Linked DNA regions of Canis lupus familiaris. The main gene of each other region encodes a partner of the protein of the gene in region 2 in a complex. Links are inferred from orthologs where the notes say so. Each region holds a gene or a part of one and is shown on either strand. Other genes may lie near its edges. The genes, in order: PDCD6 and SEC31A.

Evidence for each region.
Region 1: the proteins of SEC31A (region 2) and PDCD6 are in contact, whole or in part, in a crystal structure (PDB 3WXA), measured with the Homo sapiens proteins. The link is inferred for Canis lupus familiaris from reciprocal best matches to the Homo sapiens genes SEC31A and PDCD6. Residues at the interface, in NP_001070675.1 of Homo sapiens: Asn837, Pro838, Pro839, Pro840, Pro841, Gly842, Phe843, Ile844, Met845; in NP_037364.1 of Homo sapiens: Val31, Val35, Leu48, Ala51, Leu52, Ser53, Asn54, Gly55, Thr56, Trp57, Phe85, Trp89, Ile92, Gln96, Phe99, Phe148.

The regions. Positions count from the first base shown.
Region 1 is NC_049255.1:12,055,262-12,059,081, forward strand, and holds part of PDCD6 (programmed cell death protein 6), read right to left. Parts: intron 683-3,820; coding exon 573-682; intron 1-572. UniProt on the Homo sapiens protein: Calcium sensor that plays a key role in processes such as endoplasmic reticulum (ER)-Golgi vesicular transport, endosomal biogenesis or membrane repair.
Region 2 is NC_049253.1:33,233,742-33,237,561, reverse strand, and holds part of SEC31A (protein transport protein Sec31A), read right to left. Parts: intron 1,388-3,820; coding exon 1,268-1,387; intron 1-1,267. UniProt on the Homo sapiens protein: Component of the coat protein complex II (COPII) which promotes the formation of transport vesicles from the endoplasmic reticulum (ER).

The DNA.
Region 1 (3,820 bases), on a different chromosome or scaffold from region 2:
AGCCTTAGTAATAATGGTACATATGTTTTGTACGTTTTCTGTATTACATGTGTATTCTTACAATAAAGTAAGCTAGAAAAAAAGAAAATAGGGGCGCCTGGGTGGCTCAGTGGTTGAGCATCTGCCTCTGGCTCAGGTTGTGATCCTGGGGTCCTGGGATCGAGTCCCAGATTGGACTCCCTGCATGGAGCCTGCTTTTCCTTCTGCCTATGTCTCTGCCTCTGTCTCTCATGAATAAATAAAATCTTAAAAAAAGAAAAAATGTTATTAAGAAAATAAGGAAAATACATTTTCAGCCCTATACTGTATTTATCAAAAAAAAAAATCTGCCTATGAATGGACCAACATATTTGGTCGCATGTTGTTTGAGGGCCAGCTGTACTCCCACGGGGAGAACAGGCTCTACTGGTCACACCTCCGTTCAACAGAACTCCACAGACAAGACTAGCTCTTATAAGCTGCAGAACTGATTCTACTCCATGAAATCACTCATTGCAGGATGGCACTTCCCTCCTTCCCTCGCCCCCTGTGCCACAGCTCAGCTCTGTCAGCCCCCAGGGAGCCCCAATTACCTGCAAGACAATGCAGCCCTGGATGAAGTCATCAAATGCAATCTGCCCCCGTCCTTGTCTGTCAAACTTGCGAATGAGGATGTCATGAAACTGGTCAGAGAGCCGGTACCCTGGAAGAGAAGTGTGAGAATGAACACAGGCCAGGAGAGTGGACATCCCATCAACACTCCCATCCTCTTCCCATAAGGCCCTGCAGCCTCTTACATCTGCTGATAACAAATGACAAACGACCGAGGCTGGGATGGGAAACACAAGGCGCAAATTCGCTCACATGCACTCTGGGAACAAAGCCCTCACTCTGCAGTACTCCCCATGTGCAGTCTTGCCAATGGCTGACTCGCAGACCACCACCTTCTTCTGCAAGGGTGAGTGTCATAGGTGGCCAGCACCATCGGGTACAGCAGGTCATTCAGGTGAGCTCACTTGTTCACATCCAGGAGACTCACTTTATAGTGCTGCACCCCAAGATCACTCCGCAGGGCAGCCAGGCTTCATTATCAAGTTTTCATCTTACAAATGGTAAGTTTCATTGTACATTTGAAAGACCATATTACTGAAGACTTCCAAATAATCAGAATGTAAACTCAGGGAATAGCAGAGCAATTGATGGGTACTCCCCTACATATAGCACACTGACACTAGGAAATGCAAGGTTACAAGGAATAAGGCAGCCCCATAAAATTCACAACCACTCAAGGGTCATCAAATCTTATGACAAAGAGCCACCGATTCCACCTTCAACTTACTGAAGGTCCTGAAAAGGTCTCCAACAGGGAGGCGGTCCTGAAGACACGAGGATACCTCTCGGGGCCACTCTAGACATAGACAAGCACACCTACTTCCTTCCCTCCTAATCCCACTACCTGTGTGACTGTGGAGTCCTTACTTATTCAGGAGACAAGATCCAGGGGCCAAATATATTTACTGGTTTTCGGTCCTGCTGGAATCTTTGCGAGGATATATGTACACCTATTATCTGAGTGAATTTCATAGTTAATTACCTGCATAAACGCTTAATTACTTCACTAAAAAAAGATTCAAACATGCACACACATGACAGTACCTTCCAGAGTGGTCAGCATACTCTATGCATCTGTGACTTAAATCCAGGGCTCCCTTCCCTGCCAGCTGAAGGCAAGACAGGATCCCTGACTTAAATAAAAGAGACAGTAGGTCCTGGATCGGGACCAAACCCCTGGCCCCTCTGAGTCTCCTCTCCTCACACCTGGCACCTATACCACCTGTGGACAGGTAAGAAAGGCCCAGGTTGGTAAGGGCTGAGCTCACCAGGGTGTGGAGAGCAGACGACAGCCATCGCTGTGCGGGTCTCCTGCCCACACAGAACACACAGGATGCATACTCAGGAGTGGTACAGACCACAGAAACAACTTCTATCATCCCTGTGATTAGCTTCCAGTATCCCTGGCCTTCAATACTAATGTAGAGAGAACAAAACGAATGAAAACCACACTAGGAAAATGAGTGATGAACAAACAGAGTACAAAAGAGACGTTTATGTAAGAGGCAAAATCTGGGAGCAGACTCTTCTCTGAGAACTTTCTCCATTGAAAATCCACATCATGATAACCCTATCCTCATAAATTAAGTGGGGGTATCCTCTGGAAATGCAGATCAGAACAAGGTGGCTCACACCGATCAGTGTGTCTGGTATCAGAGACCAGAAACCCCACATGTTGGCGAGGATGTGCACTGTTGGTGGGAAGCAAACTAGTGCAGCCACCGCTGCAAACAGTATGGAGGTTTCTTGAAAAGTTAAAAATAGAGCTCCCACATGATCCAATAATTCCGCTTTTGGGTATTTACCCAAAGAAAATGAACACACTGATTCGATCTGCACTCTCACATTCACTGCAGCATTATTTACAGCACCCAGGATATGGAAGCAGCCCAAGTGACAGACCGGGAGACAGACACAGAAGAGGTGTGCACACGCAGGAATATCAGGCAGCCATAGAAAAAGATGATGCCTCTGGCGACAGTATGGATGGGACCTAGGGTGTGTTATGCTAAATGAAGTAAGTCAGAGAGAAAGACAAATACCAGATAATTATAGAACAAACATAGAAACAGACTCCTAAGTAACGGGTGGTGTTGGAAGAAAGAAGTGAAGAGGATTAAGGAGAACAAACCTGAAGTTATAAAATCAGTCAGTCAGGAGACAAGATGTCCAGCATAGGGAAGACAGTTGATCATACCGCCATGGGGTGACAGATGGCGACTATGACCCTGGTGAGCACGGAGTGCCTTACAGCACCCTCCAATCTCTATGTTGCGCACCTGACACTCATGTAACATTATGTCAGCTCTACTTCAACTAAATTAAATGAAAAACAAAAAAACAAAACAAACAAAGGTGGTGCCCTCTGTGTGCAGCTCCCCCAGCCTGTGGCCCTGGTCAGACCTGATGTGCTGGCCACAGGGCCGCACCCTGAATATAGGAGAGTGAGGTTCTCTACTGAGAACAAGCACAGGAGGGGTGAGACATCACAGCTGTCCTGATGACCCCACAAGTCACCAACTGCCTATTCTCAGCACCCTGTGTGACAGCATACCTCCAAAAACCTGGCTGCTTATCAGTAACTACTCTCCAGGGTACAGAAACTACAGCAAGGAACAGACCTGGGACAGGGCATCCACTCATGTGTATAACCAGCCTGTGGCATAAAAAAGGGGTGGGGGCTGCTCGTGGACCTGCTAGGACCCCAACTCATGCGAATGGGCTGCTAATTTCTAAGGTGGGTCCACGGCACCAATTTTTGTGAGCAAATGTCCACATGTTCCAGGGATGCAGAATAAAGTGTTCTGGGGTAACACGGCACAAGCCTTGCAGTCCTTGGTGCATAAAACAGAGACAAAGCAGATGCAGCACCAAGTCGATACTAGCTGAGGTGAGTGACACTGAATGGAAGGGCCTGTGCTCTGATAAGCTCTTCGTCAGAAAGCAGTGAGCTGGCTGGGCAGGGAGGGAGGGGGAGCTGTCCACACCTGACTGCCTTCCCCACATGGGAGGACAGCACCATGTGGGGGACTCCTACTCATCAAGCTGTCAGGGCCCGCTATTAGCGGGGTGAGGGTGTGCCTCACACACTCCCTTACTTTCAGGTCTCTGTATCGGGTGCACAGCACATACCAGACCTGAGTTTTAAAAAGGAATCCGTGAGCTATCATACCCAGCATGTGGGCCTGAGAGGGTAACCCAACACACCCAGGGTTGGCCCAAGACATGG
Region 2 (3,820 bases):
AACTCAACAAAAATTTATTGAGCTGGGTTGTGTACTAGGTGTCTTATCAACCGCTCTATACTGACTCATGTCTGAAGGAGGGCTGGAGTTTTCCTTCATTTTTATTAGGACTCTTCTATTTTTGAATGTGCCCTGTTTGGAGGTGTTCACAGGGGACAGTGTATGCTAGACTGCTTCATCTGCTCGTTGTTCCTTGCTTAGTGCTTCCATCACTTCCAGAATGCTAGGCACAAAGGTTTATGTTAACCTTTCCCTGCTTCTGCTTTCCTGACACATTTAACACAGGGAATAGCCTTCCAAAAGACCAGAAGAAAGCTGCACATGTTAATACTCAATGTTTTATGAAACAACAAATTCCAGAAGCTGTTTTTCAAGCAGACAAGTGGCCAGTGGATAAATATATTCAATGTTTGTTGGCAGAAAATTGAAATTTCATCTAAAACAAGACCAGCTTTGTAGGATTTTTGTTGTTGCCAATACACAGGCATCCTCTAGGTAAACTAATAAAACCAGTTGCTTTAACTATGAATACGACTCTAATACCTAAAACAATTTTTTTAAGTTTTTTTTTTTTTAAAGATTTTATTTATTCATGAGAGACAGAGAGAGAGAGAGAGAGAGAGAGACACAGACAGACAGACAAAGGCAAAGGGAGAAGCAGGCTCTATGCAGGAAGCCTGATGTGGGACTCAATTCTGGGACTCCAGGATCATGCCCTGGGCCGAAGGCAGACGCTCAACCACTGAGCCACCTAGGTGTCCCAAGATTTTTGCAAAGTTATACATAAGATTATCTATCTACTTTTAAAAACTTTGATCTAAACTCAGAAAGCCCAAACTTGAATTTTTTTTTTTTTTCAAACTTGAATTTCTTACACACCACCATTCTGTTCTATTTAAGTGCCAAACATGAGGTTTGCTGATGAGAGGCAATACAGGATAGTGGCTGAGAGCATAAATTCTGGACCCAAACTGTGTTTGAATTCTGGCTCTGACCTTGGGTATTACTTAACTGCTTTTTTGCCTTAATTTGGTCATCTATAAAATAAAGATGACAAATAACCCTGGGGTTATTGTGAGGATTAAATTATTTATATATAATAGAAATTATAATACATCTTTATATGTAAAGCAAACTATATAAATGCTAGTTTTACTACTATTGTACAAACTTCTAAAGTGTATCTTGTAAGACTCTGTGCAATTACAGAAGAGCTCCATAAATGAGATTATTTTAAATAAGCAAAATATGAGAAAAAAATACATACGGGATCTGTGGCTGAAGAGAGACAGCGCTGAATAAGATCCTCAAATGTGGTCTTCAGAATGAGGTGCTCATCTGGAATAGGTTTTTTGGTAATTTTTTCTGTTGGCAAAGACTGCACATGCTGGAAGAAATAATATCATAAAATGACCAGAAATGACCAGAAACTACCTATACACAAAGCCCTAAAAGTGTGACAAAGAGAAACCAACTAACTACCTTGTAGATAGGCTGTTAAAATCAAATGACAAATTAACATGTGAAATCCCTTGGGATAAGTAAAATGAAAATCACATATTCAGTAGAAGGTACAGGCTTCTACAGCTTTGATTTTCAAAAACAGAACTGGATATAAAGTATCTGATCAATTATAGAACATATGCTGATCACTACAGTATGTATCTGGTGCAAAGTAGACAGCCAGTAGGAAATAAAAAGAACAGGCATTTAAAAAGTTTGGCTAGTTAGAGTGGCTGCTTGCTCTGCTTGTTGGCTCATTTATCTTGGCATTCTTCTAGTCTTTGGTTTACTTTTGGAGGTTGGTAACTGGGCTATCATCAAACTGCAAGATTAAGTCAAAAGTTGGAATTGAAGAGACCACCATGTTACTGAATGCATAGCTGGAAAAACAAAGAAGGCATGTTTAAGTTTTTAAAGTTCTGATTTATTAGTTCATTCATTCAAAAAATATTAGGCAATTATGTGCCAGGCACTGGCTATGTATTTGCAAGCCAATTCAGAAGTGATCTCAGCTCTCTGGCAGTTTATAGGCTAATAAAGAAAAAGAACGTTTTAAAGTGTCATAAAACAAAAACTTTACAGACATTTATATCTTAATGAAGATGTTACTTGAAAAAAGTTAAAAAATAGAATGTCATTAATACACTTAAAATACACTTAATACATTACATTAATACACTTAAAATAGCAACTGTATTGCTATTTAATTGCTTATTTAATGTTAAGAAGTTAATGTTAAGGAACCAACAGACATTATAACTGGAATTGAACTGAGGGGAAAGCTCTCTTCAGGAAATTTTATCAGAAGGACAAGTAAGAGTTAACCAGTTAAATGGGAAAGGAGAAGCCTTCCAGTCAAAGGAAGAACTTGTATAAAGGAAGGATCATGACATCATGACAAGGGGACTAAAAGGAGGCTAGTGTAGCTGGGGCAGAGAGACAGCAAGGAGAAGTATGAAACTGATAGCTTCCCGGCAATGTAAAATATTTTGGTCTTTATCTGGAGAGCAATGTTTTAAGCAAAGCAGAAACAAGACCAGATAGATCAGTCAAAGGCAGACCAGTTAGAGGCTCCTGCACTGCTGAAGACCTGAGATGAAGGCGGCATAGCCCAGACTTTAGTATAGACCAGGGATTTGAGAAAAATTTTAAAATGCTATCAATACAACTTAGGGATAGATTTGAAAGAGGGATTGAAGGAAAAAGAGTATAAAGACAATGCCCAGGTTTTTGGCCAGATTAAATAGAAAGGATTACAGTGCAGTTCACAGAAACAAGAAACACCAAGTTTTAAGGACTGGGTTTGGGAGGATGACTATGAATAGGGTTTTAGAAATGTTGAGTGTGAGGTGCCTCAGAGACATCCAGGTAGCCAAGTATATAATGGCCTGGCTAAACAAGCATTCCCTGTGCAGCTTTCCCTTCTGATGGTAACTGAGGTTCTGGTCTAAATGAGTACAGCATGGGAACCCCATGTCTAAACAAAAGTGAATGGCTGGGTAGCTTCCTAAAATAGCATAGACTTGTAATCATTTAAAAAAAATTAGCAATGGATCTTTATAATTTATATTCCTGTGGAAAGAAGTCAGTCCTCCTACCTCCATCAAAACACTGGTTTTTATAATGCAACTTTTAATATTTAGAAGTTCCTTAGGCAGAACTCTCTCTTAATAGTAAAGTATACCCTTGTGATAGAGATATAACTTTATAAATTTGACTTCAATGAATCAAAGACAAAAATAGAACTAGTTTTACACTCTGGACAAGGATTTGTTTCCTCTTCTTATGTTAACTTTGACCCAAGCTCTTCACTTTTCATGAACAAATCAAAATGTTTATCTTTATATGTCTAAATCAGTTATATGTGATTTTTCATTGTCTAGAACCCTGCCAGCTGACTAGTTGCTTATCTGTGAAAAGCAGGTACAAATTTATAGCTCCACCTGAAGATAGGCTGTATATTACCAGCTCTTACACAAGAAAAAATACAACTCATTACATTTTTATTTTATATTTTAAAGGGAAATACCTTTGAAAATAGCTTCTGTTTAGCAAGCTTGGCTGAAAATACGGAATTCAATTGATCTTAAATTGTGGCTCCTGATTAGGTCAAATGAAATACTGCAACTGTCAAGTTAGTGTGAACATACATAAGCAAATATATGAGCCAAAGTTTATGGCCATGTAAGTGAAAAATAATACCCATGCATGATCAATCTTAAAAGAAGGGTTACTATTTTTTATTTAGGTTGTCTTAATTGAAACCAAATTTAGATGTTCATTAATAAAGGAAGTTAACACATTAAAAAAAAAAAGA